Tribolium castaneum: one gene and its partner. The protein of the gene in region 1 interacts with the protein of each later gene in a pairwise test. Links are inferred from orthologs where the notes say so. Each region holds a gene or a part of one and is shown on either strand. Other genes may lie near its edges.

Region 1 (16,510 bases):
TCACGGGGAAAAACCAGCTGAATGTACGAAAAATTCCGCAATTGTTGCTAAAATGAGTTACGCACTTTTCGTGTTTGCGAGTGTTTGGCTTTATGTAATTTAGGTAAATCGACCAATTTTTCCATTTGTACCTTTCAAAAGATTGTACTTTAAATATTCGAGGTTAGGTTATAGAATTGTGGCCCTTACAAAACAAGCAGAGCTACTTATACATACTTTATATGACTAGGATGTATTTTTTTTAAGAATAAATAAATCCTCCAATACAATTTGGCTTTTATTTATCGGACGAACTGTTCCAACAGTTACAGAACGAGTGAATTAAGACGCCAGTCTCAAGATTCATTTAATAAAACAATAATTACGTTCGCTTAGAATCTTATCAATTGCAATAATTATTACCATTATTTTTGGTAAATTATTGTTATATTTGTTCTTCAAGCGTAATAATTATGCAATTACGAATACTTTACAATTTTTTGAATCAACTAATAGACAGTAGTAATAAAAAAAATTCGTGCAAAAAAAACAGAACGTAACATTCATCTTTTACGATAACTAATAAGTTAAAAGTACCTACCTTTAAAAACTTTGTCGTTAAATTCATACTTTATTGGGTTTCTGCTTCAAGTCAGCAAATGTACATAAAAATTAAAGTTAAATGAACGGAATTTTTTCAGAAGTTTTCTAAATTCCTTATATAATAAAAAATACAAATTAATCAAAAACAGTAATATTAATCAAATTACAAACATAAAACCGTCATTTATCGAAGCATCAGATAAATTGAGTCATAAATAATTAATAATAATAATAAAACAGACACTACAAAAATAAAATCCCAACTGAGAGTAACTTAATTTGTTTATATTTTTTTGAGTTTCTAATCGAAATAACTAATGTTTTCGATAAATATCCTTGAATATCAATATTTTTTAAATCCAAAACTTCCAAAATTTAATAATGTTTTTGGTTTTGTTATAAATTTTATTTTTTAAAGCATTTCTTTAACTTTCTTTGTTGTCTGTTTGTCAAATTTGAGAGGGTACCCGTTATCCGAACGAACTGAAATTTTTCATACATACGTAATGTATGTGACAATGCAATAATATTTGGTTAATCACCCACTAAAAAGGTTAAATGATGAAAAAACATTTTAAAAGGTGTGAAAACGCAGCGAAATATCTGATAATTTGGCAACGCGCGCGGACTTACCCCCATGCTATTTTCACTCTTGTTCTGGGAAAATTAAACCAAAACTTGGTTTCTTCCTATCGCTTTTAATGAAAGTAAACAATTATAAATCTTTCCTCATTTTACATAAATTCTGAAGCGGCAACATTTTAATATCGTTCTTCATTTTCACGACGCCTTCGTGTAAATCAATGGAAAGCAATTCTCCAGTTGCTTCCCTTTCTTCACCGATGATAACTTTGAAAGCGTCACCGCGTTGTGGTCGCACTGGTTCCAAATGATCGGAAATAATATTAACGACTCGATCTTCCTCCGGTAGGAAAATCGAGCACATGGCTCCGGAAATGCTCCGGATTATTCCGGTTTGGCCGACTAGACCCGGATCGTCGTGACTGTCCCTGATCCGGACTTCGATATCGATCGTATGCCAGTCGGTCATTGGGAGCACGTCAAGACCGGCTCCGGGCGTTTGAGGGTTGTAGGGCATGTTGGGGCTGTAACCGGAACTGGGGGTGTTGTAGGGGTTGTTGCTGGCGGGGGATTGGCCGTAGCCTGTGGCGGGGCTCGGAGTCGAAATAGCGCCTGGAAAAAAAAAACAAAAAAAAGTGTAATCCCAACAATTACAAAGTCATCATTTTGTAATAAGAACGTTATTAACCCACATATGGTCAAGCTCGGTTAGTATTGTAAGATTACGTTTCTCCTCCGGAAGTTGTATAACTGTTTTCATCAATTTTTCTAAATTTTTTCAATCATAACACATAATTGCAAATATCTGCATAAATAATGAGGAATGTTTATATTGTAACGGTGTACACTCTGTTTTATTTTTGCAAAAAAGGAAAATTCTGCGAGAATGAGTGAAATGAAGTAAATATTTTACATTCTTTTTTTAACACTATGTATTTTTATTTTACCTCAAGAGTATTAGGACCTATTACACAAAATCACGATTAAAAAAGTTTAAAAAATGCAATTTAATAGGTTTTACATAACCTTGACCATTAAAATTTTAAGGAAAAAAACCCTGGTATAACACAGAAAATGAGCCGCTGAATCCACTGGAACAAACCGCATTGCTCTACGACTTTTAGTTTTTGAGTTATGAATTTTTTTGTTGAATAAAATTTTTCACTATAGAAATTCCTATCTTAATTTTTAGCAAAAAATTTTAAAATGCCAGATCTCGTTGAAAGCTGGTATAATACCGAAAATGAGCCGCTGAATTCACTGGAACAAACCGCATTGCCCTAAGTCTTTTAATTTTTGAGTTATAAATTTTTTGAAAAATAATTCGGCGCATCCACCATTTTTCAAATTAAAATAAAATAAATTACGGCAATACTGTTCAAAAAAGTGGAACTATTTTTATCCATACCTATGCAACATGATCCGGGGAATCGATTGCCATTGAGAAAACTGCCAAGTTCCCAATAGTTTTTTAGTTATGAATTTTTTAAAATTTTACCAATTTTTGCTTTTGTTTGCGATTTGCTCGAATACTATTAGTCGGAGAACAATAATCTTTTTGAAAAAAATAGATAATTTAAAGAGCTTTCCAACGATAATACACTTCATGGGGTTTTCTCTGATAGTTCCGGAGCTATTGCTCGATAAATGTTCTGGGTACCCAAATCGACCAAAATTGCGACAAAAGTTGCAAAAATCAAAAATCTAAAAATCAGAGCAATTATTTTTTTTTCTACTTTTAACAACTCTAGAGGGTTGTTAAAGCATATATAAGTTCAAAAAACTATGATAGAACAAGTTTAAACAAAAATAATTTTTTCAGTTTCTTGATGGTAAGTGAAATTTTAGCAAAAAAAACCAAAATTTTAAATCTCGTGAAAAGTTGGTATAACACAGAAAATGAGCCGCTGAATTCAATGGAACAAACCGCATTGCTCTACGACTTTTAGTTTGTGAGTTATGAATTTTTTTGTTGAATAAAATTTTCCACTATAGAAATTGCCTATCTTAATTTTTAGCAAAAAATTTTAAAATGTCAGATCTCGTTGAAAGCTGGTATAACACAGAAAATGAGCCGCTGAATTCACTGGAACAAACCGCATTGCTCTACGACTTTTAGTTTTTGAGTTATGAATTTTTTTGTTGAATAAAATTTTTCACTATAGAAATTCCTATCTTAATTTTTAGCAAAAAATTTTAAAATGCCAGATCTCGTTGAAAGCTGGTATAATACCGAAAATGAGCCGCTGAATTCACTGGAACAAACCGCATTGCTCTAAGACTTTTAATTTTTGAGTTATAAATTTTTTGAAAAATAATTCGGCCATCCACCATTTTTCAAATTAAAATAAAATAAATTACGGCAATACTCTTCAAAAAAGTGGAACTATTTTTATCCATACCTATGCAAAATGATCCGGGGAATCGATTGGCATCGAGAAAATTGCCAAGTTCCCAATAGTTTTTTAGTTATGATTTTTTTAAAATTCTACCTATTTTGCTTTATTTGTAATTTTCTCGAAAACTATTAGTCGGAGAGCAATGATCTTTTTTGAAAAAGATAGATAATTTAAAGAGCTTTCCAACGATAATAAACTTCATGGGATTATCTTTAATAGTTTCGGAGTTATTGCTCGATAAATGTTCCGGGTACTGGAAATCGACCAAAATCGCGACAAAATTGGAAAAATTAAACATAAAAAAAATCGAACGTGTGGACTTTTTTTAGACTTTTAACAACTCCAGAGGGTTGTAAAGCCATATAAAAGTCCACAAAACTTTGCTAGACTGAGATAAAAAAATGTTTTTTTCATTTCCAAAAAACTTACTTTGATATCCCGGACTAGCTTGATACGGACTATAAGTCGAATCATAAATAGTCCCCGGAGTTTGTGGCGTAAACGGTCCATTCATTTGATATCCCGGAGTGCCCGGATTATATCCTGGCGATGGATACGTATTAGAAACGGTCGGATCCCATTCAGAAGAAGCATTTGGCGTCCTTGAACCATCATGAATTGGCGTCATTGAACCACCATAATGCAGTGGAGTACGAGAACCAGAATCACACATCGGCGTTTTATTTCCGGTATCACGATACAACGGAGTCTGGTTTCCGGTGTACGCAGGCGTCCTGCCATAACTCGAAATACTGCCATCCCTGCTAGGCGTACCTAAAATTAATTAACAATTATTATCAAAACATTCAGCCACAAAAAAAAATCCAAAAAAATTATCAGCAACCAAAGAAGCTTTTGTTGTATGCAGAGTGAGTTTGCTAAAAGTATATTTTGACTGTGTCTCAAAAAGTAGTAATCACGCTGACTATATTTATAATTTATAAACTTGCACATATAAAAACATGATTATCATAATTAATCAAGTTGTAGAGTCAAATAATATTTTTTTACACTAGTTTATCAATTACAAAGAAAAAAAACGCCTACTCTGATTATAAATTCAGATAATCGCAAGGTAAGGGAGATTACGTATGTATGCAAGATTTCAGTACGTTCGGATAAAAATAACTAAATAAATAAAATAAATAAAAATTGATTTCTGTGTGATAATTAATTTTTAAAAAATTTTTTTTTGAAAAATGACCGTACCAACATCAGCAATATGACTCCTATCCACACTGATCGTCTGACACGAAGTGTGCAATTCAATCCTTGCCGTTGACTGTGTCGCATCTTTGACAATCCCGATATTGCCTTTATAAGGCCCTTTGGTGATTTTGATGGTAGTACCGATGATGTCACGATCACGTGACACCCTCCCACGGCCGCCTCCGCCGCCGCCTCCACCCCCACCCCCAGGTCGGGGACTTGCAAATCCACCCATACCGCCGCCACCACTTGAAGGATGCATCGGTGAACTCCTCCTCGGTGACATGTATTCCATTCCGGTTGAAATATCGGCACTTGGAACGCTTTTATTTCCACCGGCTAGTTGTAAATGTTTCGTTTTGCAAACGAAAATACCGCCGTTTTGGAGAAATTCAACGGAATGTAAAAATGCAAAATTTCGATACAGGTGTTTGATTTCGCCGGAAAAGCCGGAATGTGGACCGTCGATGACTTTAACCATGTCTTTGCGATGGAGATTGTTACGGTAGGAGTCTAAGGCGGCTGTGAAACGGTTTAAACGGCGTTTTTGCAACGAGCCGGGACGGCACTCGACCACCTTCCCTAGAAAATAGAAAGACACATTATTCGTGTTTTTCAAGTTTCAATTTCCACTGAATATTCGTAAATTTGTTCATTCTTTGAGCCGCTGTTGCAACTATTTGGCAAAATTCCGTCAAAAAAAAAACATAATACGAAAATGATGTTTGAGCAAAAACACGGTGTTTTGCGATATTTCGGCCAAAAATCATGAAATTAGGTCATAGATTACATCACTTTTGCCTTTTGCTGAGTTCGTCAGTAAAAACTCAATTCCTTAAAATTTCGTCAAAACTACGAGCAAATGAATTAAATTAACGCGGAAAATCACAAAATAATTCAATTTTTACATTTTTCGAAAACAAAAATTTAATTTCGCTGAAATACCAAAAAATACCTACCTAAGCTGGTCAAAAATTATCTTAATTTTACGTTTTAGAATAAACTTTATGTAAAAACGTAATTATTTCACAAAATCTCGTCTAAAATGAGAAAAAAAAACACCAAATCAAACTTTTTTCAAAGATTAAGCACATTTTTTCCACGAATTATACCACCAAAAAATCACTAAATTGAGTGGAAATAGTAAATTAAATTAGTAAAATAATAATTTTTAAGGCATTTTAGCACATCATGTTTCAAATGCGCAATCATTTCGCAAAAAAGCAGAAAAAGCTAATATTACGTCAAAAATGTCGTAATATTTCTATTTTACGGACGTTTTCGTTACTTGGTTAAAAATCACTGACGAATATAGTTTGAAACGTTGATTTATTTAAAAAGTTTGTGTTAAAATATCTGCAAAACACGGTCAGTACGTGGGGCCCTCGTGGCCTAGTGGTATAAGCGCCACTTACGACCAGAGGGGCCGCGGGTTCGAACCCGGATCAGAGCAACAATTTTTCTATGAAAAAAAGTGTAGAAAAGGTAAGTGAAACAACACGTAAGCAAAAATAAGAGATTGAGAGAACACATAGAGACGTATAAACGTAAAGCGGAGCATAAAACTGACAGAAATAAGAAAATAATGCGGCAAAAAGTAAAAGTACGTAAAGGCGCTAAATTGTAAACGTAAGAGCACGTTGTAATAAAGAGAAAATACCTTTTGTTTTGAGAGAAAAAGAGATGAACGTAAAGGTGAAACATAACTTCAAATTTTAGCGTTGAATCCTTAGATGACTTACTTCTTAAATTAGAAAAAAAATAAACGAAAATATTTAATTTATGTCTAAAAATTTTTAGTTAACTGAGTTTATTTAGTAAAGTCCCAAAAAACATTGTTATTAAAAATCATGGTACTGCGAATCCAGTAGGATTTACGCACGTCCACTATTTTTGACTAGAAAATACACAAATTTGGTGATTTTTGGAGAAATTTTGTCTATTTTCGGTCAAGAACGTGCTGAATGTCACAAAAAAAGGTAAAAACAATTTTAAAATTGCAGAATCAACTTATACGCCTGGTATCTTTTGATAGAATCTGGTGAAAAATTAGAGAATTAAATTGAAAAAAAGTGGAAGAAAATGTTTTCTCGAGCTAATTCGCCAATTTTTGACATGAATGTATTTGCGTTTTAGATGAATTAAGGCAATTATAGTTTGTAATGTTGATTTATTTAAAAAGTTTGTGTTAAAATATCTGCAAAAGATGGTCAGTACCTGGGGCCTCGGTGGCCTAGTGGTATAAGCGCCACTTACGACCAGAGGGGTCGCGGGTTCGAACCCGGATCAGAGCAACAATTTTTCTATGAAAAAAAGTGTAGAAAAGGTAAGTGAAACAACACGTAAGCAAAAATAAAAGAATGAGAGAACACATAGACGTATAAACGTAAAACGGAGCATAAAACTGAGAAAAATAAAAAAATAATGCGGAAAAAGGAAAAGTACGTAAAGGCGCTAAAATTGTAAACGTAAGAGCACATCCTAATAAAGGGAAAATACCTTTTGTTTTGAGAGAAAAAGAGATGAACGTAAAGGTGAAACATAACTTCAAACTTTAGCGTTGAATCCTTAGATGACTTACTTCTCAAATTATAAAAAAATTAAACGAAAATATTTAATTTATCTCTAAATTTTTTTAGTTAACTGTTAATATTTTAATATTTAATATTAATATTTAAATTTAATATTTTTTCCTATAAATTTAGGCATATCTATACTTTGTAAAAAATGTTTTAAGAAAAAATGCCAGAACTTACCGTGCATATTGAGAACATGAAAATTCTCCCTCTCCAACCTGACGATCACTCCCACCGTCTCCGCGTCCAAATTGACCAAATCCCCCCATTCAAATTTCCCCAACGAATCCACTCCACTCGCCATATCCGTACAAAGTTGCAAATCCTTTGGTAAAATCTCCATTTCGTGCATCGTCAAATCAGAAATCAAAACAACCCGATTATTCTCAACTCTGACAACCAATCCCGTATCACCCTCGTACCGACCTATAAACCATCCCTTACCACCAACCTTACAAAACAAACAAATAGTCACATACCAGCCAAAACCTTAACATGGTCCCCCATTTTAAAATACTTCTTCAACTCAGACGCATGAAAAAAAAGCGGTTCCTTCAAATCCTCATGCTTCGGCATAATCGTGATCATTGTTCCATCGATACTAATAATTTTCCCTTGAAGATTAATCAATTCACCCTCGCACACTTCAACATTATCGCCAGCGCTGAACGAATGCGTGACGGCTTTGTCCTCCTTCTCGGTCGGTAATTCCAAGTCTATACCTTCGGGTTGTTCTTCGAAACGTTCCAATTCGGCTAGTGTTGGTTTAACACCGTCGATTATGACAGCACTGAGAGTGAAATTCTTGTAGAGGAAGCCTTTACGCGAGTAGCGGTTTCCTTCGAAAATGAGAAAATCACCGTCGGAGGTCACTTCACCTCCTATGGAACGGATGGCTTCCGGATCGAAGGGTTTGCTAGGTGGGCGACGCTTCTTTTTGCGCTTTTCCGCCTCCGATTCGGATTGAGTGGTGCGGAGAGCACCTCGAAGACGAGTATAATCGATTCGAGGCAGGAGTTTGAGGTGGACTTGGTTCTGGGCCATGTCGAAGTAGTCGACTTGGGCGATGTCGTCTTTGTAGAGACCGCGCTTCAAACGCACCCATTGCTTTGATTTTAATCCTAAAATTTAATATTATCCTTATACATTGTTCGTATTAAAAATTGTTTTTTTGGAAGTATATTTTCAGGCCCCACGTTGGGCGCCACATGATGGAACAGACCTAAACTGTTTTTTAACACGGAAATCGCCAAGGTCTAAATTTTGGTGAAAAAAAAAAAATGTGCAGCTTATATCCAAGCCCATAAACTTTGCTAATTTCTGATTTTAAGGTCAGTAAATTAGTTCACTCCCAATTGTTAATTTTCATTTTCCATCAGGGTGCCGGTTTTTTACAATATGATTCCTTAAAACTTTTCTGATTTTATAAATTTTTGACGTATTTTGTACTAGTTCCAACAGTTTCACCGTAATCGGCGTTTGGTTTATATATCTTTTTACGCCTTAAAACTTGCATAATGTTATAAATTTTTAACAGCGACTTCAATCGGACTTTTAGCGCCAATTCTAATAATTTCCACGTAATCGGCGTTAAGAATTATTAAACCAAAATATTTAATTTATCTCTAAAAATGTTTAGTTAACTATGTTTGTTTAGTAAAGTCCCGAAAAACATTGTTAATAAAATCATAGCCACTGCGAATCCAATAGGATTTGCGCACGTGCACTATTTTTAACTAGAAAATACACAAATTTAGTGATTTTTGAAGAAATTATGTCCATTTTCGGTCAAAAACGTGCAGAAAGTCACAAAAAAAGTAAAAACAATTTTTGAATTGTAGAATCAACTTATACGCCCGGTATCTTTTGACGAAATCTGGTGAAAAATTAAAGAATTAAATTGAAAAAAAGTGGAAGAAAATGTTTTCTCGAGCTAATTCGCCGACTTTTGAACTGAATGTATTTGCGTTTTAGGTGAATTATTGCAATTATATAGTTTGTAATGTTGATTTATTTAAAAAGTTTGTGTTAAAATATCTGCAAAACACGGTCAGTACGTGGGGCCCTGGTGGCTCAGTGGTATAAGCGCCACTTACGACCAGAGGGGTCGCGGGTTCGAACCCGGATCAGGGTAACAATTTTTCTATGAAAAAAAGTGTAGAAAAGGTAAGGAAACAACACGTAAGCAAAATAAGAGATTGAGAGAACACATAGACGGATAAACGAAAAACGGAGCATAAAACTGACAGAAATAAGAAAATAATGCGGCAAAAGGTTTTAAGTACGTAAAGGCGCTAAATTGTAAACGTACGAGCACATTGTAATAAATGTAGAAAATACTTTTTGTCTTGAGAGAAAAAGAGATGAACGTAAAGGTGAAACATAACTTCAAATTTTAGCGTTGAATCCTTAGATGACTTACTTCTTAAATTAGAAAAAAAATAAACGAAAATATTTAATTTATCTCTAAAATTTTTTAGTTAAATGAGTTTGTTTAGCAAAGTCCCGAAAAACACTGTTAATAAAAATCATGGCCACTGCGAATCCGGTAGGATTTGCACACGTCCAATATTTTTGACTAGAAAATACACAAGTTTGGTAATTTTTGAAAAAATTATGTTCATTTTCGGTCAAAAACGTGCTGAAAGTCACAAAAAAAGATAAAAACAATTTTAAAATTGTAGAATCAACTTATACGCCGGGTATCTTTTGACGGAATCTGGTGAAAAATTAGAGAATTAAATTGAAAAAAAGTGGAAGAAAATGTTTTCTCGAGCTAATTCGCCGACTTTTGAACTGAATGTATTTGCGTTTTAGGTGAATTATTGCAATTATATAGTTTGTAATGTTGATTTATCTAAAAAGTTTGTGTTAAAATATCTGCAAAACACGGTCAGTACATGGGGCCCTGGTGGCTCAGTGGTATAAGCGCCACTTACGACCAGAGGGGTCGCGGGTTCGAACCCGGATCAGAGCAACAATTTTTCTATGAAAAAAAGTGTATAAAAGGTAAGGAAACAACACGTAAGCAAAAATAAGAGATTAAGAGAACACATAGACGTATAAACGTAAAGCGGAGCATAAAACTGAAAGAAATAAGAAAATAATGCGGCAAAAGGTAAAAGTACGTAAAGGCACTAAATTGTAAACGTAAGAGCACATTGTAATAAAGGGAAAATATCTTTTGTTTTGAGAGAAAAAAAGATGAACGTAAAGGTGAAACATAACTTCAAACTTTAGCTTTGAATCCTAAGATAACTATTTCTTGAATTATAAAAAAAATGAAACGAAAATATTTAATTTATTTCGAAAATTTTTTACTTAACTGAGTTTGTTTAGTATTTGCGCACGTCCACTATTTTTGGAGAAATTATGGCCATTTAATAGATGGATTGTCCCATAAATCAAAAACCGACCAACTTCATTTATTAAAATTATTATGAATTTTTAGGGTGATAATCATTTCAAAACTTTTAAAACAACAAAAAAATAATTTATTTTATTTTAAAGATCGAAGCGGGAAGTTTCTTAAGTTCTAGAATTGGTTGAAAAACCTACCAGTCTGTTCCTTAACCACTCGTAAAACATCGGTCATTTCTTTAATCGGCACCATTTGTTGTTTCCAAATCCCCATCCGCAAATTGCCCACATTTTCGATAGCGGCTTTGACATGGGGTTGTTTATAAGCCTCGATGTAGATGTAACCTTTGACACCTTCTGGTGCCACAACCGATTTGATTTGAAGAGGTTCACTCGTATTTTGATACGCTAAATATTTGCGCATTAAAAGCAAAGCTGTCGCTTTCTCTTCACCAATGCGACATTTAACCATCCACAAATTCGGATCCCTTCCAAAAAAATTAAAAAAAAAAATGTTACGATTATTAGAAACTTACTTAACGCCAGGCAATAACGTCTGTTGGGTGATCTCATCTGACATTTCCTCACCCCCATCTCCGAAGTGCTTAGCAGCCGCACTATCATCGGCATATTTCTTCCTCAAATATTCTTCAATTTCGTGTTCTTTTTGTGCGCTAGAGAATTATCAAGTAATTATTAGTACGAAAAGTTTTGGGTAAAATTACTCCCAGAGGTTCGTTCCTCGTCGTCTTCCTTCGATTTCACGGGCCGTGGGTCCGAATTCGTCAACTTCGTTCGGTACGATACCGATTTCTTGCGCTCCTTCTTCCCATTCATCTTCATCTTCGACTTCGTCATCTACTTCCGCTTCGTCAATAATAAAACCGCCGTATCTGTCCTTCTTCTTCTTTTTTTTGGCACGACCTGAATCGCTTTCGTCTTCTTCGCTGTCGTATTCGTCGAGAGAATCGCCTTCTGGCTCTTGTTCTTCTTCCACTTCTTCCGGTTCGGAGGCTTCGCGAGCCTCAGAACTGCAAGAATGGTTAAAATCAAACAATTATTTTTATTGAAATTAATAGGAAAAATAGAAAAACAAGATAATTTTGAAAGTTGGAAGACTTAAAATAAACTAATCAGAAAGAAAAAACGAGACAAAAAAAACAATAAATAATAATGTCATTGTCAACCCGATTTTTTAAAATTATTTTCGATGATACTTCTCTGAATAATAAAGTTTTGTAGGTTTTATATTACAAGTTATGGTTTAACCAGCATTTTAAACCAAATTTTTTAACGAAATGTCGAGAAATTATTGCGTTTTTGGCAAAAAAAAAAACGTCGTGACAAAATGACAAAAAACGTATAGGCTGATTAATAAAAAAACATGCAATTGTAGACTTCAACCTTAGTGACCAAATTTATTCAAAATTATGACTTAAAAATGCCTTGATTACCGTTTTGTAGATTGAAGAACTGTCAAAATTCTTTCAAAAATAATAAAAAAGCAAACACAAACTTTATTATGTTTTTATAAAAATTGTAGCATAGATTGGTCTTTTATGAACGTTGGATAATATTTGTAAGTTTCTCATCGTGATTTTTAACGATTTATTTTGATAAGATTTTTAAAAAACTGCTAAATATCATTTTCCACATAATTTCTTCTGATTTTTCCACTCGTTTTAATAACATCACACAAACGAACCCAATCTTTTATTTCAAAATTTCTTTTAAACACTCAGCAAAGACAAAATTTACAAGTTTTTTTTAATAATTCGATACTTTATCGGCACATTTTGACGAAATTTCAACCAACAATTCCTACCATGGTTAAAAAAATGTTCGAACACTGAAAAAACGCTCAAAAATTGCAGAAACTAGACTATTTTCCACACGATTTTGTCATTTTTCGAGTATTTTTTATCAAATTTTGTAACATAATTAAAAAACGTGCTAAAAAATTCAAGATTTTTCTTCAAAATTTCTTCAAAATAATTTAATACTTTACGTTTTTTTCTTTTTTTTTAATAAATTTCAAGCAACAATTCTTATTATAGCTGAAAAATATGTTCGAATATTGAAATAATTATAATATATTTTTCACATAATTTAGTCATCTTACGAGTTATTTTTGACAAAATGTGGCAAAATAATTGCGTGGTTTTTTTTGGTCGAAAAGAAAAAAGCAGAAATAGTATTCCCGACACAATTTTTTATTTTTATGGCCCGGTTTAACCAAAGCACTCAAAAAACTTTAATCTTTGCTTCAAATTTTCTCAGAGCACTCAAAAATTACAACATTTTTAAATTAATTGAATGTTTTATAGGCTTTTTAATGACATTTCCAAAATTAATTGCTATTACAAATTTTAGAAATAACACCAATTTCTGTATAGTACATAATTTTGGCTCATTTTTGACAATATTTTAAAAAATGATTGTTTCTGGCAATAAAACGTACTGAAACACTCGAAAAATATAACTTTCCAGCTAATAATTTGAGAGTTTTCATGAAATCTGTTAAAAGAAAACGACCAAGAAAGTGGTTAAACGCTCAAAAAAAGTAATAACAAAATTTTTGTCATAATTAAAAAAATATCGGTTTGTTTAAAACATGATTTTGCAAAAATAGTGCGCTTCTGCTGAAAAACATATTAAAATGCTTTTTTAAAAAAACACAATATCATTTTAATTGCTCTTTGTAAAAAAAAAGTGCATTAACGTTCGACAAAGTTTTTTTTAACCAAGTTAAAAGACAAAATAACACCATTTTCGAACAAATTGATGCTTTATTGGCTTTTTTGACCAAATTTTCTATTACAACTAAACATCAAACACTCAAAAGAGACAAAAATTATATAATTTTGATAAAGACAATGTTCGAAAAATAAATTATAACACCATTTTCTTCAAATTTTGGCTTAAGACCTTCTATAATTTAATTGACAATAAAACTAAATCGGTTTATAGAAGCTCCATTAATTTAATCCCCAATTAAATGCGTGATTAACTGATCACGTGACCAAGTTGAGCCAATTTGATTGGTCCATTCGCGTTGTTAACTTTTAACAACGAATTAAATTTAAATTTAAATTCAATTAGCAAAGCTTTCTATTAATAAAACATCCCAATCAAAACGAATTCACGTAATTTCATTTTGTTATCCAACATTTCACATAATTGTACTCCAACGTGAAAAAACAACGTTTTTAAGAGCATTTCTTGCATTGACTGAACTCTTCAAACCAAACCAAATCATGAAGCTACATCATCAAGTCACCTTAGGTCCCCTTAACCCCAAAAACATCTCACAAAAACAGAGACACAACTCAATCCCCATCCTCGTGTAAAACAGCCCGAGCCCCAAAATAACGACCTGAAAACCTTCCACCATATGGAACATACCCAGAACGTGCCGAACGGCTCCCAGATTTGGACCGGGACCGCGACCTGGACCTGGAGCGACTCGGCGACCTTGACCTGCTCCCGCGGGAACTCCTCGACCGCACCGAGCCCGCCTCCGACGCGTTATCAGAGAAATTGCTTCCCTCAGAGTCCGACATTCTCACTTTTGCAAAAACAGCCAAAAATTCACAAATTCACTCAAGTGACGCCATTTTGATCTGATTGATGATGGCGCATGGGACGCGCTACCAACCCCAGATTCAAACTTTTAATCAATTAATCCCACGATTTAAACACTTCGTAGAGCGAGTCTAGCAATTAAGCATTGAAAATTTTACACGAAATAGCAGTTAAAAGTGTATAAATAATTGTTCAAGTAACGTTAAAATGCGCAGCAGTCACTTGGTGGGGAACAAAACTCCCTAAATTTTTCTTGTTTGTTGGTCGGATGTCAGTTACAAATCAAAATAATGGAAGAATTTCCGAAATTAGTGAATTCGCACGATGATTCCGTCATTACAATCAACAATTCATCCGTACGTTTAGAATCACGTAAACCAATCGATGCCTCACGGTTTTTTTCAGTTCTCAATCGGGCGAAGCCTCAGCTGTGATCACATCATTGAGTCCCTCGGTGTTTCCCGATTTCACTGCTTCATTAAGAAGAACGGCGACCGGTGGACGCTCTTCGACCGGGTAAGCGCCCCATCGCCCCCTTGCCCAGTTACCGTTTGCCTACTCTAGAGCACGAATGGAACAATCGTCAACTCCACACTGTACAAATTCAACCAAAGCACCGAACTGAAGGACGGGGACGTGATCAAGTTAGGACCCGACAATTTAGACTTCGTCTTCACTTGTTTTAACCCGCCCAAAAGTAGTGAATCTCACGCCACGCCTTTAAACGAGCAAGATTTCAACGCAATTGAGCGAGAGTTGGAGGTGATAGACGAGGCGCTTTTGCAGGAGTTGGAGGAGCCCTTTGCTGCCGAGGGCGCGCCTCCGGAGGCCAAGCCCCAGCCGGAGCCCAACTCGGAGGATGTAGACACAGAGCTCACTTGTAGCATCTGCTCCGAGCTGTTCATCAAGGCTGTTACACTGAACTGTTCGCACACGTTTTGCAAGTTTTGCATCGATAGGTGGATGAAGAACAAGTCGAATTGTCCCATTTGCCGCAAATCTATCACAAATATCGCGCCGACTCTAGTCCTTGATAATTTTATCGAGAAGTTTATTAAAACGCAAAGTGATGACGTGAAAGAGACGCGGAAAAATCTAATCCAGCAGAGGGAGGAGATGGTTGTTAATATGGCGAGTAGTTCGACTAGGTCTCCAGAGGTGGTGGACGTGGAGCCAGGGCGTGTGATTGAGATTTATTCCGATGATGAGGATTATCTGGATGTGGAAGATGAGGATAGCGATTACAATTATTTAAGTGATGACCATGACTATGATGTGTATGATTGTTACCCGGATAGGCCCAGGGGGAGGTATTATGGGGGCTATGGGAGGTGCTTTATTTGCAACCAGGCCGGGCATTGGGCCAACAGTTGCCCCTTCAAGAGGCTATGAAATGTGTAATTTTGGTAGTTGTCTAATTAAATCATAAAATGTTTGTTTTTTTTCTATTATCTTGCTAAATACAATTATGTTTTTTTGTATTTTTTTGTTTAATCCCAGCTGTGCACTCTAGATCGATGTTTCAGTAACCTCGGCGCCCTCTAGTGAACGATTTTGTAATTTGGTTTAAGTATCTATTGGCTGTTTCAAAACTATAAAAACGCCAATATCGCATTTTCTCTTAAATTAGTTTTAAAAAAATAATAGTTATTGTAATTTATAGTTTCCAGGGGCGGATCCAGAAATTAATTTTGGGGGGAGGGGGCTTCCAAAAATTTTTTACAATGGTGACGCTATTTATTTGTACAAAATTTTACAATGCAAATTTATATTTTTTACATAAAACACGCTATATTTTGTGCAAAAATAATGTAATAGATAATTTCGAGCTTTTCCTTCCAATAAGAAAAAAAGGTCAAAATAATTATCAACATTAACGTAATTTTAGCTAAATTATTCTGATAGAAAAAAATGTTGAATTCATTGATTACTCGGTCTGCGTTTGCTCCCATTGAATGAAACATGAAATTAAATTATATTACGAGTGGAAGTGGAGATGAACTTAGGGAGAGATATTTCAAATGTCACGTCTGATCGATAATAAATTAAAGCAATTAAACGTATTAATTATTAGGGAAAGATTTTCGAAATGATGACGTCAAAAAAAAGGTTTAAACCGCATCAAAGATTTATGCAATGTCGCATGCAGCAGTAGTTGATCTAGAGCGCGATGACCGACATCGTCATCCCGTGACGTCATAAGTACACTCGGAACAA
Region 2 (15,528 bases), on another chromosome or scaffold:
ATTTTACATGAGAAATTCACAGACGACTATGCAGAGATTCCTAGTAAGTGGAAATTTTGTAACATAAGGTCGAAAATGAACTGAATAAGAGCAGACCTGTGGAATTTTAACATGTCAAAAACTGACAGATCAGAATTCAAAAACAATTTTTCAAAAATTAATTTCTGTATGGATGGTCAGAAAATTATAACATCATTTATGCCTAAAGTAATTTTGTTATCTAGAAATTCTTAGCAAGTGGAAAATTTATAACATGAGATCGAAAATGAACTGAATTAGAGTAGCCTGTGCCTGTGGAATTTTGACCACATGTCAAAAATTGACAGATCAGAATTTAAAAATAATTTTTCAAAAATTATTTTCTTGCTTAACCAAAATGTTTACCAAATGGTATTTACCACGAAAACAAAATAAACGGAGAATGGAAATATTCAATTGGTGCATGCTTAGCAGAATTTCGGAAGTAATATCCCGATTTTACAAAATTTTATAAAAACAATTAATGAAGAATAAATTGTGGTACCAAAAAGCTTAGCGGAAGTTCTTCCAAAAGGACTCGAGAAAAGTTACACACTTAACTTTCAAGGCTTGCTCTAATTCAGTACATTTTCGATCTCATAGTATTTATTTATTCATATTTCCAGTTTATAAAAAATTGAGATTTTGACATTCTGTACAAAAATAACAACAAAACCATGAATAAAGTAAATTTGTTAGATTACTCTTTCAGTTTTATTTGTTAAATAGTAATCAAAGAGACCTGTGCTTTTTTCATATCTTCTGCCTCCACACAGTTGCCAACTGAATTTCAGAGTTACAAGCCATTTTGATGAGTGATTTAATTGAACGCGTGGTAGATATTTTATCACAAGTTACAAGTAAAGTAATTTTATTTTTTACCTTTTTACCAACAAGCTGTACAAACATTTGATAAACCGATAATAATCTTAATCTGATCAAAAATTTCAAATTAAAAATTGGCAAATAGGTAGGAGTTAGATTTGAAAAATTACTACATTCAGATAAGGTAGCAAAAATAACGTTGACCCATTTGTAATTCAGGAATTTGGGAAGATATCGGCAAACTGACGATGACTCACTCAGGCAGGTAACGCAGGTCTTACTTCACCTGTCTCCTTTTCAACAGGTGTTTTCTTTTCATACCCATTACAATAGTTATTTACACGAAACGGCGTTATTTAAAATTTCTTAATTTTAACCGCCTCTTCACTGATAATAAAAAACCGTTCAACCGAATTGTGTTATTTCAGCAATTGAATATTATTTAATAACTTAATGACCTACATTTAATCGAGGGCAATTACCCGACACACAAAAACCCAACAAACCTTAATTAAAAATCGCAAACTCACCTAAAATGATCCGAAAACCCTAGAATATGTTTTTGTTTACCATAAAAGAACACCCACACTTTCACCAACAACCACTTGACGAATTCGAAACAAATAAAATCAAACTTTACAATATCGTCACATGAACAATCTCCCAGTTCTCACACAAAATTAAATCTTTCCAAATAAATTAAAAACGAAGAGATAAATAAAAACAGCAATCGCCGTATTTGACGTGTCTAGCGTCGCACGCGTCGATACCTAACCACGCAAATGTCCAAAATCGAACTGTCACCGCCCAGCTGATTACAAAATTGTATGCAGCTAACCTCACATGTATTAAAAACGATCATTTACACGTGGCTGTGGACAAGCGACGCTTCTGATTGGTGCATTTTCCAACAAGCAACAAAACCGACCAATCAAAAGCCACCAAAACCCGATGCTGGGCGATAAGTGAGCGTTGCGACCCGACGATGAACAATCGCGTGAAGACAGCTCCACAACCTAGCTCCTTCAATTTCCGAAAATGCCCGAACACGAAGCCAACTTCACACTAGCAAAATAAGCAATTTTATATATTTTGTTAACCACTTTATAGACGTAGAATAAATTAAAAAACTGAAAAAACACAAAACGCCCTTTCAAATATGAAATTTTGAAAAAGGGAAAATTTTGTTATTGGTAAAAAATATATTATCAGAAATTTGCATAAACATAAAGAACATTTATAAAAATAAGTAACAGTTAAAAGATTGGTTCATGTTTTTTGTAAAAAAAAAGGTAAAAAAATTATGTTAAAAAACCGAAAATTTAGTTTCTTTATTTTTGAAAAAACGCCCTCTGATTCAGAAAACTTATTGGTTTCAATAAAAAGGATTTTGAATCAGATTTAGATTCGAATTAAATTACGAAGACCATCGACATCAACTCAGTGACAAACGAAAGACTTAATTTTTGGTTTGGCTCTTAGTAAAGTGTAGAATCGAATCAAAAGTCTTTATAAACTCTGAGAACGTTAAATTTAATTCTTCTAATCAAAATAGAAAAATTTTGTTAAATTGTGAGTAATTGTAATCTAATCTAAGTTATTATATATTATATATTATATAGCAATTTACTAGTTTTAAATACATCTACAAACTGATTATAGTATAGTATTATAAGCGAATGAGGTTCAATCTGTAGGTACAAATATATTAAAATGTTGAGTCAAAAACTAAACTGCTCAAAAAAAGTTAGGGCTGTAAGTACGCATTTTGAGATTAATCGTCTCTAAGCGAGAAAATTGTTGCTGGAAAATACGAAACTGGTACAACTCTAAACGATAAAATAAAAAGTTTCATAGAAAACGTATTTGATATTATTTTTCATGCGGCTGTAAATTTTTTTTTATAATTTAGTATATCATTTTTTAATCAGTTTATTAGTTTAGCAACATGCAAAATTAACTGAAGTCTGGACAGTGTCGTTAAGGGAAAAATATTAGATTATTTATATATTACTGATATTAGGTGTTATGTGCCCAATAAAAATTTTGATGGCCCACCTATGTGCCCACCCAAAAATTAGGAGCTAGATCCGCCACTGTCATTAATACAACGATAAAAAAACGCATATTACAAAAACTTGCATAACAGAATTATTGTCGAAACAATATTAAAAAACATAAACTTGTCTATATAGCTTCAAAAATGCATTATCCTAACTCTTTTACTTCATTTAACCCCGAAATCGGTTTTGTCACACAATGCCCTTTTGGCCATTGATACAGCAACAAAAAGACATTTATTACAAAAAATTGCATAACAAAATTGTTATCGCACCAATATTAAGAAATATAACTTACTGCAACGTCCACAAATGCAGAGATAACTGAGGTAACTGTTTTTACCTGAAAAACTTTGAAGTTGTCAAATTACTACCCATCGATTCATATGACTGGAGTGAAATATTGACATTTATACTAATTTTATATAAAAAAAACAAAAATATAATAAAGGATTGATTATAAATGAAATAAATTGGAGAATTTATTATTATTGTCCCTTTGGACAATATTTTATGTTATCGCCTAAAAAGCATAATCATGAAAATTTTATAATGCAATGAATTACTTCAGTTTAAATGATTCTCCTCTCCCAAAAACTTTTTTATCGCAAAATACACTAGAAAGATAAACCGAATCGTGTATTTTAAAAGAAACTTAACATTACCTATTAAAATCATTTGGAATTTCGGGATTTGGATGCATTTTTTCTGAAGTGACTGTTAAGAGTGATGAGATACAAAACACAGTGACAATTTAAGTATACGTGAGTAATTTATTAATTGGAAATGGTTTTCTAAATAAAATGAAATAAGATTTGCTGTATTTATTTGTTATAATAGGACATTAAGCGCCGTTTTACGTTACAGAGAGTAAAATTAGAACTTAATTCCGTATTAAAGTAATCCGACATTAATTTGCCATTTAAAATGCATTGACAACTGTCAAATTAATCTAGAATTAAAATTTAATTGCAGTTAAAATGTTCTCTAAACCGACTCTAAGGACCGGTTTACAGAAGCGTCATTAATTTAATTCGCAATTAAATGCGTGATTAACTGATTAACTGGCCAAATTGAACAAATGTAAATGAACCATTCTCGTTATTAACTTCTAACAACCAATTAAATTTTAATAATGGTTTCTATTAAACTTTTTTCTTTAACTAAGTAATAAATAAAACTTGCAAACAAACCAACAATTTTTTGACTTCTTAAAGTGTCGAAACGACGCAACGAATTTAAGTTTTTTATTATTTGTTTGTGTTTTAAGAAAATTAATAAACATTCGTCAATTTAAAGAAAAACTTCTTTTTGGTATTGACAGTATTGGTCAAAATTTTAATCAGAGTATTTCCAGAAATAAATTACTCTAATGTCCATTGATAACTTTTATTCTAGTTATACCAATTTTTTCAAACATTTAATAAACAAAAATGTTAATAAAATCTATTGAGCGATTAATAATCGAACGATTAGAAGTATAAACGTTTTTACTTGAAATTTGAAATGCAAATTAGATTAATACTTTTTGTTTTATCTAGTTTGATGCACTATAAGTTTTGTAAGAACGGTCTTTTTGATTATAATTTGTAGCAATGAAGTTTTAAAAATAATAATTACTTTGATTTAAAATATTTTTTGGGCAACCGATTACAATCTGATCTTTTCGTGGTCTAAGTCTTGAATAAAAATTATATATCGACAACAATATGAATTAAGAGTTTTTGTAAAATATTTCTACGGTAAAAAAGTTGTGGCAAAAGTTAATTAAACAAAACTGTTTTTTAAATGTCACGTTATTTTATTTTGCAACAAAACTTTTTACTTTAAGAAAACATATTAGAAGGCACTCCCAACAAATAGTAAAAATTTAGTTAACTTAAATTTTTAATTCGCAATGAAAGTTTAACCTAAAATGTAAATGAAATAAGAGTCCGTGTTAAGCATGTTTGTTATTCAGCAAATTTTAGTCGATGTTAAAATTTACTTATTAAAAATTCCAACAAAAATGTTTAAACATTTTAAAAATCATTAAACGAAATGTGAAACATCATTCAAAACTCTTTTACGATGTCAGATGATTTATGAGTAGTAGACATTCATTTATGAAGCGTCATTTTCTTTTTAGGCGGCTGTACCTATATGCGGTGGCGTTTGTAAGTTTGTATTGACACCAGAGGAAAAAATACTCTGTATATACCATTTCTGTTCACAGTAGAATTTTGCAACAGCGCATTTGAATGTTTTGAAGGTATAAAAGTACAAATTGAAAGTTTCTGAATAAGAAAAGAATTCTGGTAAAATAAATATTATACCAGCGACAAATTTTGAACCAAGAATTTTGGAGCTAGAAAATTTATATTTTTTAGTATTGTTACGACAACTTTGTTACAAATTTTTTTTGTAATAAATGTCTTTTTTTAACGCCGTGTTAATAGCCAAAAAGGCATTGTGTAAAAAAACCGGTTTCTGGACGCAGTAAAGTTTGTAATAAATCTCTTTTTATTGGTGTTAATCTGCTTTTTTTTAAAAAAAAAGGCAATTTTTAGTAAGTAATTGATTTTTCACCTTAACAAATTTTCCCTCTTTTAAAATACTGGATTTAAGGCTCTAGACCCTCTGGGAGCTGGCGCATACGTTTTACGTGTAAACTGTTTTTACTGTTTTTAGCCGCAAATTTAGACTTGAAGAGTTTCTTGACATTTGCAGTGTTTCTTTATAAGTAAATGTAGGTCGAAGATTCATTTTTGATTGAAATAAATGCCTAGATATTTTTTTATTAAATAAAATGTCTGTTAATGAAGTTGATACGAATTTTTGATAACGGTGCATTGTATTGAGAATTTAAAAAAACCATTTTATAGGAAATTTAAAAATACAGACTTGAGATATTTTAGATTTTTGTTAACTGTTCTCAATTGTTAGATATAAAGCAAAAATTAAATTGTAAGTAGGCAACTTTTAATGCATCCTTCTTCAAATGCGTAGCTAGCTGGAAGAAGATTTATGACGGGTTTAGGACGCACCGCTGGAGGTAACCACCATTGGGGTGACCCACAAGATAATAATTTTATTGCATTTGTTCAAGACAGAGAAATGTATCGGCACAAATAGGAATTTTAGCGATTTCTCTAATAGTGGTATAAAATTAAAGCACATGATTTCGGAATTAATTTTTTTAACAAAATAATTAGGTACCTATAGATTTGCATTACGTTTTTTTTTGTAGACACTGCTATCAACGTATCTTATGAGATTTTGAAATACGAGTAATCACGCTCACTATTTTTTTTGAATACTTTTAACAATAAAATTATTCCTGTTTTAAAAAAAATATAAAAAAAGATGATTAAAACTTTGGTTGTACTTAGCTTCGTTCTGCACAGGTTTTGTGATAGAACTACTGAGCTCCCTCACCACGACAAGGTGTCAACCCAATCTGCACTTTGAATACGAATTTTTCTTTTATTTAATTTTGTAGCTTGAAGTTCTTTGGTTTTTAATAAGCGATTTGAAAATTTTGTGGTGTAAATGCCACTATTCCCTGATATTTTCTCCATAATTTTAAATACAAATTTGTTTTTGTTATTTACATTTACGACTGCCGCAAAGCATCTTCCATGATAAGAACCGCGTTCTGAAAAATTTATTCTTTTACCCCCAACAAGTTTGTTAACCACTGAATTAAATGACTCAACAGAATTATTATCGACATCATACAATAGACTTGAAGATAAATTTGCAACTCGTTTTAATGCCTGCATGAACAACTCAAACAAGTAACTATTTTTAAAGTCAGAATATGCAACTGCATTTGTTATTTGACCAACTGTTTTACAAAAATACGTAGCGCACTTTGAATGATTACCAAAAATATGTGCAGGTCCATTTAAAATATCATTTTTCAGGTTTTCTGCTTTTTGATCGAAAGTACAGTTTTCGTTTTTTCTGTATTTTATCGCTGAAACAATTGCGGTTCTAAATTTCAAATAATTGTTGCGCAAAAAAGTTTTTATATTTATGTCAGAACGAGGAGTTTTAGCGATTTCTCTAATTTTAGTACAAAAATTTCGTAGTATATGATTTCGGCATTCAATTTTTTTAATAAAATAATTAGGCCCGTATGGTCTTGCATTACGAATTTTTTTGTAGACGCTACTATCACCATCTCCTATGAGGTTTTTAAATCTTACGTTATGCATGTCTACTGATTTTTTAAATCCATCCAAAATAATTGCTGCTTCCATTGAAGTTGAAGTGTTTTTCCAATTTTTAAAACATTTATGAGGGGGCGTCGTTTGGTTTTTTTTCTTATAATACATACATTTTTTACAATTTTTATTTTTAACTCCCACGTATAAAATTTTTTTAGTCCTTGCACCGACTATTGTTGCAACACCAGAAGATGCGTTATATTTTAAAGAAATACACAAAATTTATATAATGTAAGAGTAACGCAGCTATATCTTCGCAAGCTAGTTATAGAAAAATTGTATAAATTTAATAAAAAAACGAGAAATAATTCCTAAATTCTAAAATAATACATAATTATAAAAGTATCATTTATTTTACAAGGCGTAACGTAAACAAATTATATCCCTAAGACTGGATCTTACAATCTCTCGATACGTTATTTGTACTATAATTATTACTGGGTATAGTTAGAATAAATTTTTACAACAATGTATTTTTCAGAATTTATTACCTGGATAAAATTATCAGACGAAAAAGCGGGTTTAATGAAGTTTTCATCATTTTAATGAGATATTCCTAGTAACTTTTTTAAAGTTAAACTGTTTTCTGAAAGAACAATAATGTTTCACCAATTAATTTTTTTATTTTATATTTTTTCAATGCAAGTGATCCAATTAGAAATGCACATGACACATAATATAGCGAACAGAATTCGGTTAATTAAAACATAAAACCCAATAAATAAATGGTGTAATGGTGTATTATTTTTTACAAAACTATGCTAGTATTTTATTATTCTTTAGTATCAAATTTTTTTAACAAAATAAAAAACGTCTTTTTTACTGTATGTTGCTTGAATCTCTGAAATAAGAGAAACTATCGTGGGCGATAGTGGAATTCAGTTTGTTTACATTATTTGCATTTTATGAGAAGGGACAAGACACCCCGAGGCGAAGGTCGGATGCCTATCCGATGATTGACAGCTGTCACTGAAAACAGGTCTAAAAAAGTATGCAACTTGTAGTACACCAATTCTCAACAATCGCTTCGGTACCCTGAAGCCTTAAGAGAAGTTTGTGTTTTTCAGTTTTTCTCAATATTGAACGTCTTTAGTGTTGGCAACCAACCATACAATCGCTTATTTTGTTGGTGTGAAAGTGGTTTGTGTCCGGGTATTTCCGGAAACTGAAGGAGCTAACTCGTGTAGCTGTCTTCACAGAAATAAAGCCTCGAGTGAAGTTAGCCGATAAATAAACACGCATTCTAGGAAAATGGCGGACGAACAGTTGCCTACTGGGTGGGAAAAGCGGTTAAGTCGGTCAACCGGTAATTCGGTTAAGTTTTAATCATTCTCCCTTGACTCAAAACGTGTATTTTAGGCCAACACTACTACCTGAACGTTTACACCAAAGAGTCCCAATGGGACGTTCCCGACAAACCGGCAGAACCTGTGTCTTCGAGCGGCCCCGAACAAGTCCAGTGCTCACATTTACTCGTCAAACACAAAGACTCGCGAAGACCGTCCTCTTGGCGAGAGGAGAACATCACAAGGACTAAAGACGAAGCCTTGGAATTAGTCAAATGTGAGTGTTTTTGGCCAAGAAATGTCACCACTTTTGAACGTTTTTTCAGCGTATCGCGAACAAATCGTCCAGGGCAAGGCCTCGTTTGCTGACTTAGCCTCAAAGTACTCGGATTGCTCGTCTGCTAAACGAGGGGGCGACCTTGGCTCGTTCAAACGGGGGGCCATGCAGAAGCCCTTTGAGGAGGCGTCGTTTGCGCTCAAGGTTGGGGAGTTGTCAGAACCTGTCTTTACCGATTCGGGGGTGCATATTATTCTGCGTACTGTTTAGATTTGTACTCTTTCTAGACCATTTTTACATTTATTATAAGTTCATTCATGTTCTTTCAGGTCTTGTTAACGTAATTTATGATGCATCTATGCCAAACAAATTCATATTTATATATATTGCGATGAGATTGGAGCTGTAAATTTAGTGTAAATTTCTTTTATATTGTACTTTTTACTTATTAATGAGGTAACTTATTCCTGATACTTTTGTTATTTTGTTTATGCACAATAAAGAGCCCTAAGCACTCCTGTTAGCCCGGATTTTATTCCAGAATCAAAAGTAAAACATTTGCTAAGATGCAAGCATAATACAAGTGAGGATGAGAAGATTTAAATCAATAATAGGTAATAACTATCTTTTATTTTCAAAGTGCCTTTCGCGTAGTTACAATAGTTCGAAACTACTAATACACACAGATTTTTTTACACAAAAAGTATTGTTGCAACGTTTTGCTTGTACACCATTAAATTTTATTGAGATTACTTCAAACCAGGATGTAGTCTTTCAGACGAACCGATCGGTATCGTAAATATCTTTTGGTCACCGTTGTCGAAACATCTTATTTTGAGGATTGTTTATCATAAACAGCATTAACTGCTGTAAAACGTTATGGTGTAACTACAAAGAAAACGATGCTTCAATAATAATCAATACAGGGTCTTCCACGTAATTTTACAAGGCCTGCGCCTGTAAAATGCAATCAACAATACATATTCCAATACGAACTCGATTACAAATTTTGAAAGATTGGATCTCTAGCTTGTTCATCCCTTCAAAAAATTGCAACACTTTTAATTAGTCGGTGATTAAGTTAGGTGGATTAGAATCATATTTATTCCGTTTCTTGTTAGAACACATGAAAATTGTTTCTGAAAAACATTTTATGAACATTAATGAAACAGTGATTAGTGCCCACCTAAAAAATCTCTACGATATTTTGAATACTTGCAACTTTGCATAAACATAAATTACATTCTAAAAATAAGTAACCGTTAAAAGATTGGTCCATGTTTTTTTGTAAAAAAAGTGAAAAAATTTTGTTAAAAAAACGTAAGTATCGTTTTCGTTTATTTTGGAAAAAAAGATTCAGAAAACTTATTGATTTTGAATCAGATTTAGTTTCGAATTAAATTACAAAGACCATCTACATTTTTTTGTAACTCAGTGACAAAAGAATCGAACCAAAAATATAGCGAAGTTAAGGGAAAAATATTAGATTATTTATTACTGATATTAGGTATTATGTGCCCAAAAAAAATTTTGTTGGCCCACCCATGTGCCCACCTAAAAATTAGGAGCCATTTCCGCCACTGTCCTGCTTACCGGATGAAACTTACTTTTTATCAAATATAATACATGATGTCCATTGAGTTTTCTATTTGTTTCGCCTCCATTTCCTTGGAATACCTTCATTATACCTAATGGGAGACTAAAATTAGTGCTTCTAATTTTCCAATATATTATTACTTACCATTTATTATTAGATCCAATAAATCCAAAAGTTACAGCAATACAAGGAACAAGTCACAAAATCTAAGTGTAACACACTATCACCAAATTTTCCCAGCAAAATATTAAGGGAAAACAAATTAAAAATTACAAATAGAGCCCAAATGGAAAAACATATCATTTAGACCAATTGACGATATGAACTAGTACCATGCGGTTATTTGAATTTATAATTAGCGTAGGTGGTTTTCTTTCTTTATGATTGAAAAACTAGTGCAAATTGAGGGAAAAATGCATAATATTAAGTAGGTACTGGCCGAAATTCTGATTAATTAAGATAATTACCGTTTTCAAGTAAGTACCCAAGTTAAAAAAGTATTAAAGCCTACTCTAAGTATGAATTCATTGTTCACATGGTAGCAAATATTTTGCTTTGTACGTGAAGATGAAAAATTCCGAAAACGGTAGCACAAACAACTACAGTTTTATATTAGAAATGGGACACTTCGAGCTCAATATCTTTATTCCTTTAAACATCTTTTCAGTTATTAACTTTAAGCATTTGAAAACTCATGATTTTGGATAGACAACTTAATAATTTTTGTGAAGCAAACACAAAAAACCCGTTGTTCCATTTAACTTTTTCAAGTTATTTAACTTTTAACAAACTTCTTAAATTTTTTACGTTCCTATAATCGTAAGCACTACATTTTTGAGTTTAAACTTTCCCCTTTAACGTGGTAAAGTCCTACTTTTCTGGGTAGTTTTTGTGTAATAATATGATTGAAAAAAAAACGTGTTTTCGTCAAACAAATCAAATTATTTCAAAAACTCTAAGCAGAATCGACCAATATAAGATTAGATCAAAATTATCAGTTTTCAGCTACGGCCAAAAATGCAAAAAATATAGGGGAATTCATTTAACAAACGTAACTTTGCATTGTAATTTATTTCTGAAACACTGTGTATATTTGAAAATAATTTTAGTTGATGCAGGGGCTTTTAGTATCTACGCCTTTTGTAAAAAAATATTTTTCATTTATTTAAAGGTCATTAATGGACTTTTCCAACCCGCTGGGAAACCTGTAACCCCTGTAACCATATTCATATTCCACAAAGTGAGGTTATGTTTCAACATTGTTCTTTCGAATCAAACATTCAACTCTCGAAATAATTTTATTTATGAAACACAATTGAAGTAAAACGAACTTTTTCACCGTCTTATCTGCTACGAAACTAAAATTAGTAAGAATGAGCAACTAATAAGCAAAAATTTGAGGTTATGTTAATTGCAGAAATGATCAAATCCGGCACGTTCAAGTCCCTGTTGAGACGCCACAAAAACGTTTTGCACTTTTGCCAATTGTCTTCAGCCGCCCAACCACAGTCAGACCCCAAAAGCCACAGTTTTCGTACCGATGAGAACGACCCCCTTAAACACACCCTTGATCATGTGGGGCAGTACTACAGAGTCCCCCAAAATGAGTGCAAAGTATATCTATACGGGGGTTTACCCAAATCGTACGAAATCCAAACAAAGACCTTCAATGAAACTTGTTTAATGGTGAGGAAACCTTCAGTCGATATTATAAATTGTTTGAAAGGGCTTGATTACACAAAACCCGCCGTACGTTTTGTCCTATTTGGTAAAAAAGGAAGTGGCAAGAGTTTGACAATGGCACATGTGTTACACTACGCCCAAAAGGCCGGTTTTTTGCTGGTCCATGTCCCTTGGCTGGGCAATTGGATGCGGAACCCTAAGGAACTGAGCAGCTCTGAGACTAGAGAAGGGTTTTATGATTTAAATCTGGACGCGGCTGCGTGGTTGGTGCACTTTAAGTCGCAGAATGAGCATTTGCTGAGCGCCCCTGAGCTTAAAACGACTCGGGAGCATGTTTGGAGTAAACGTGAGAGTACACCAAAAGATTCTAGTTTGCTTGAATTGATTGATCATGGCATTAATCGGCTGAAATATGCATCAGAGTGTGTTCTTGCCCTAGCTGAAGAATTGAAACAATTGACTAAAGCTGGAAATTGTAAAACTCTAGTGGCAATTGATGGTTTCAATGCGTTTTTCTACCCAAAAACTCGTGTTTTTAAGGAGAAGAAGGAAGTGGTTCCGCCAAATAAAATCACACTGACTGAGGCTTTTCTCAGTTTGACCAAATTTGATTGGAATAATGCGGCAATCGTTGTCACAGTTGATGAAATTGCCATTGCTGAGGAAGATCACAAGTCGCATTTTCCAAGGTATGGATCAAAGTGGCTCATGATTTTGAAGTTATATTGGCAAAATTAAATAATTTTAAAGTTACACATTTAATTTAGACATTTTGATCAAAATTTTTTTTATTTAGGTATCTCTTGGGTAAGGAAGGATTTGAACATTTGGACCCTTTTGTGCCCGTTTTTGTTGACGCTTATTCACCAAAAGAGCTCACAAGTTGTATGGATTATTACAGAGAAAGGAAGTGGGTTAGGTATTTCCCACAACAGGATGAAGAATTGGCGTCACTAAGTGCATATAATCCTTATAAATTAATGAAGTTATGCATATCGCTTTAAATGTAACTTAATTAGAGTAAATAAAATTGAATTACAGTAATACTGATGTCTTGCTTTTAAATCGATTACTGCCGTTGAGAATCAACACCACAAAAAACGTATTTTTAAAACAACCATAATTTCAAAATCGTATAAAATAACCGGCTGCGGTCAAATCAACATTAATTAGAAAACGTTTACTCAGCCATTTGAGGACAGCAAAATTTTCAAAATAATTTTAGTATGTAAAGGTTCTTTTAAAATAGACGATTCGGTTTATATTAAAATGTATTTTGCTACGAAAGAGTTTTTTTGTGGATTTAAAATGGGATAAGATAATCATTTAAATTGAAGTAATTCAATGGATTTAAAAATTTACATACATTGTCTCATAGGCGATAGGTATGTCCCATTTCAGTTCATGGTAGAATTTCACAGCGCATTTGAATTTTTCGAAGTGAAAAATAAAGCACAAATTGAAAGTTTCTATAAAAGAAAAGAATTCTGTCTTATTTTTTACTTGGTTAAAGAAGATTCAAGAACAAGAGTAATATTTTTTAATTTTCACTGTCTAACTTGATATTGTTAATGTCTTTAATAAATAAAACCATTTTGAATAATTTTTCTCATGTTATTTTTCTACAAAGGATTTTTTGTCTCATCCGTCATGTTTCGTTCGTCATACAGCGTGGAATTTTTAACTGGAATAAAATTCATAACTTTGATTTAGCCGATTTTGGTGAAAATTTCCGAAACGGGTTAATTTTTATTTTTCCTTGCCTACTATTTGGTGCATATGGTTTTGTTTATCTGCTGTCAGAGATGCACAGCCTCCTATAACTTTTTTTTTCAAATGTAATGGTATGTCAAGTGACACCTCGTATGAAAGCCTTTTTTGCAAGCATTACAACGCACTATTTGATTTTTTGAATTTTTTCAAAGTCTACGTGATAAAAAAATAAAACACAATTTTATAAGTTGAACATTATTTAAGGCAACAATTGTTCAAAATGGGTACCGTTCCTCTCCTGGGAAATATCATAACGATAGTAGTATGTATTTCTAACATTTTTCAACATTTCTAGTGTGATTTGCCTATAATTTCAACTTATAAAAATTGATTTTCATTTTTTTATCGCGTAAGCTTTGAAAATATTTAGAAAAGAAAGAGTACGTTGCATTCCTTACAAAGTGGTCTTTCGCATGAGGTGACACTTGACATACCGTTACATTTGAAAAAAAAGTTAGAGGTGGCTGGGCATTTTTGAAAATAGATAAACAAAAACCGCATGCACCAAATGATGCGCAAAAGAAAATAAAAAATCGACCTGTTTCAAGATTTTTTACAAAGATCGCTTATATCCAAGTTACAAATTTTATTTTAGTCAATAATTCCACACTGCTTTAATTTTTTATCACTTGGGCATTGATAATATTTAGAAAACAAAGAGTGCGTTGTATTCCTTACAAAGTGCTCTTTTACATGATGTGTCACACAATAACATACCGTTACATTTGAAAAAAAAGTTGGAGATGGCTGTGCAGTTTTGACAGCAAACAAACAAGAAACATGTCCACTAAATGATGGACAAGAAAAAACAAAAAGCGATCTGTTTCTGGAATTTTTACAAAAATTGCCTATATCCAAGTTATAAATTTTATTCCAGTTAAAAAATTCACACGGTATGGAAACAAAAAGTAATTTAATCAGAAGTTGTTACTGATTCGCTTGTTCTTAGGTTTCGTGGTTGCAAAAAATTTCAACAAGTTCCACCTTTTACCAATAAGAGTAAAACTAAAAGTGATGTTTGAAATCTTTTGAAATTTTTCAAGCTAGGGAATAGAATTTTTTAATGTTGTTTACCGTGAAAATTATTTAAATACGTACCCAAACACACGATCATCATGCGTAATATTTATAAAAATAAATTTAAAATAATTTATACACAAGGACACCACTAAAAAAAGAAAAAATATTGATTATTGTACTCGTACATGTGATTCTCTTCAGTTTTTTTTCATAACATCGTCGGTATGTTCCTTATGTGTCACTCATTAAATTTGAAACATTGTGATAAAGGGGTATTTTTGGCGGACTAATTGGTTGTTTAAATCATGGGAAACCATTAAAAAAAAAGGAAAACAAGGAAAACTGGTGTACCAAATTTGGTTTAAACAAGTTCTGTGAACATAGCAAATATATTTGAATTGTTGGAATTACAATAACTTGTATAAACTATTTCACAACGTAACAAAATACATTTTAATAGAGCATGTGCTATTCCCATCAACCAATATTTCGTTGCATGCATATTAGCTCTTAAACCTACTGATATGACATTGTTATATATTTACATATACTGAATACAGTGAGTTTCTGTCACATTGAAGAATAAAACTTCTCCAAACGAACATATAAGTCGTATTATACAAATTATACAGAAGAAAGAGAAATAAACAAAAATAATAAAATTGGTTTAAAAAACACGACTGAACGTGTTTCTTATTCATCTAGAATACATGTTCGGACCAAAGCTTCACATACTGCGTACGGATCGCAATTTGAAGATGGTCTCCTATCTTCA

Evidence for each region.
Region 2: the proteins of Spt5 (region 1) and peptidyl-prolyl cis-trans isomerase NIMA-interacting 1 interact in binary tests that used the Homo sapiens proteins (3 or more experiments, as listed by UniProt). The link is inferred for Tribolium castaneum from reciprocal best matches to the Homo sapiens genes SUPT5H and PIN1.

The regions. Positions count from the first base shown.
Region 1 is NC_087401.1:13,830,127-13,846,636, forward strand, and holds Spt5 (transcription elongation factor SPT5), read right to left. Parts: upstream 14,272-16,510; coding exon 14,114-14,271; intron 11,740-14,113; coding exon 11,434-11,739; intron 11,383-11,433; coding exon 11,245-11,382; intron 11,197-11,244; coding exon 10,907-11,196; intron 8,470-10,906; coding exon 7,828-8,469; intron 7,775-7,827; coding exon 7,529-7,774; intron 5,355-7,528; coding exon 4,773-5,354; intron 4,338-4,772; coding exon 3,993-4,337; intron 1,777-3,992; coding exon 1,298-1,776; 3' UTR 1,261-1,297; downstream 1-1,260. Other genes in the region: GILT-like protein 1, read left to right, coding at 1-103; E3 ubiquitin-protein ligase rnf8-B, read left to right, coding at 14,584-14,649, 14,699-14,809, 14,858-15,685. UniProt on the Homo sapiens protein: Component of the DRB sensitivity-inducing factor complex (DSIF complex), which regulates mRNA processing and transcription elongation by RNA polymerase II.
Region 2 is NC_087394.1:12,583,887-12,599,414, reverse strand, and holds peptidyl-prolyl cis-trans isomerase NIMA-interacting 1, read left to right. Parts: upstream 1-8,265; 5' UTR 8,266-8,368; coding exon 8,369-8,423; intron 8,424-8,476; coding exon 8,477-8,680; intron 8,681-8,729; coding exon 8,730-8,950; 3' UTR 8,951-9,203; downstream 9,204-15,528. Other genes in the region: mRpS29 (small ribosomal subunit protein mS29), read left to right, coding at 11,697-12,649, 12,757-12,964; Gs2 (glutamine synthetase 2 cytoplasmic), read right to left, coding at 15,447-15,528. UniProt on the Homo sapiens protein: Peptidyl-prolyl cis/trans isomerase (PPIase) that binds to and isomerizes specific phosphorylated Ser/Thr-Pro (pSer/Thr-Pro) motifs.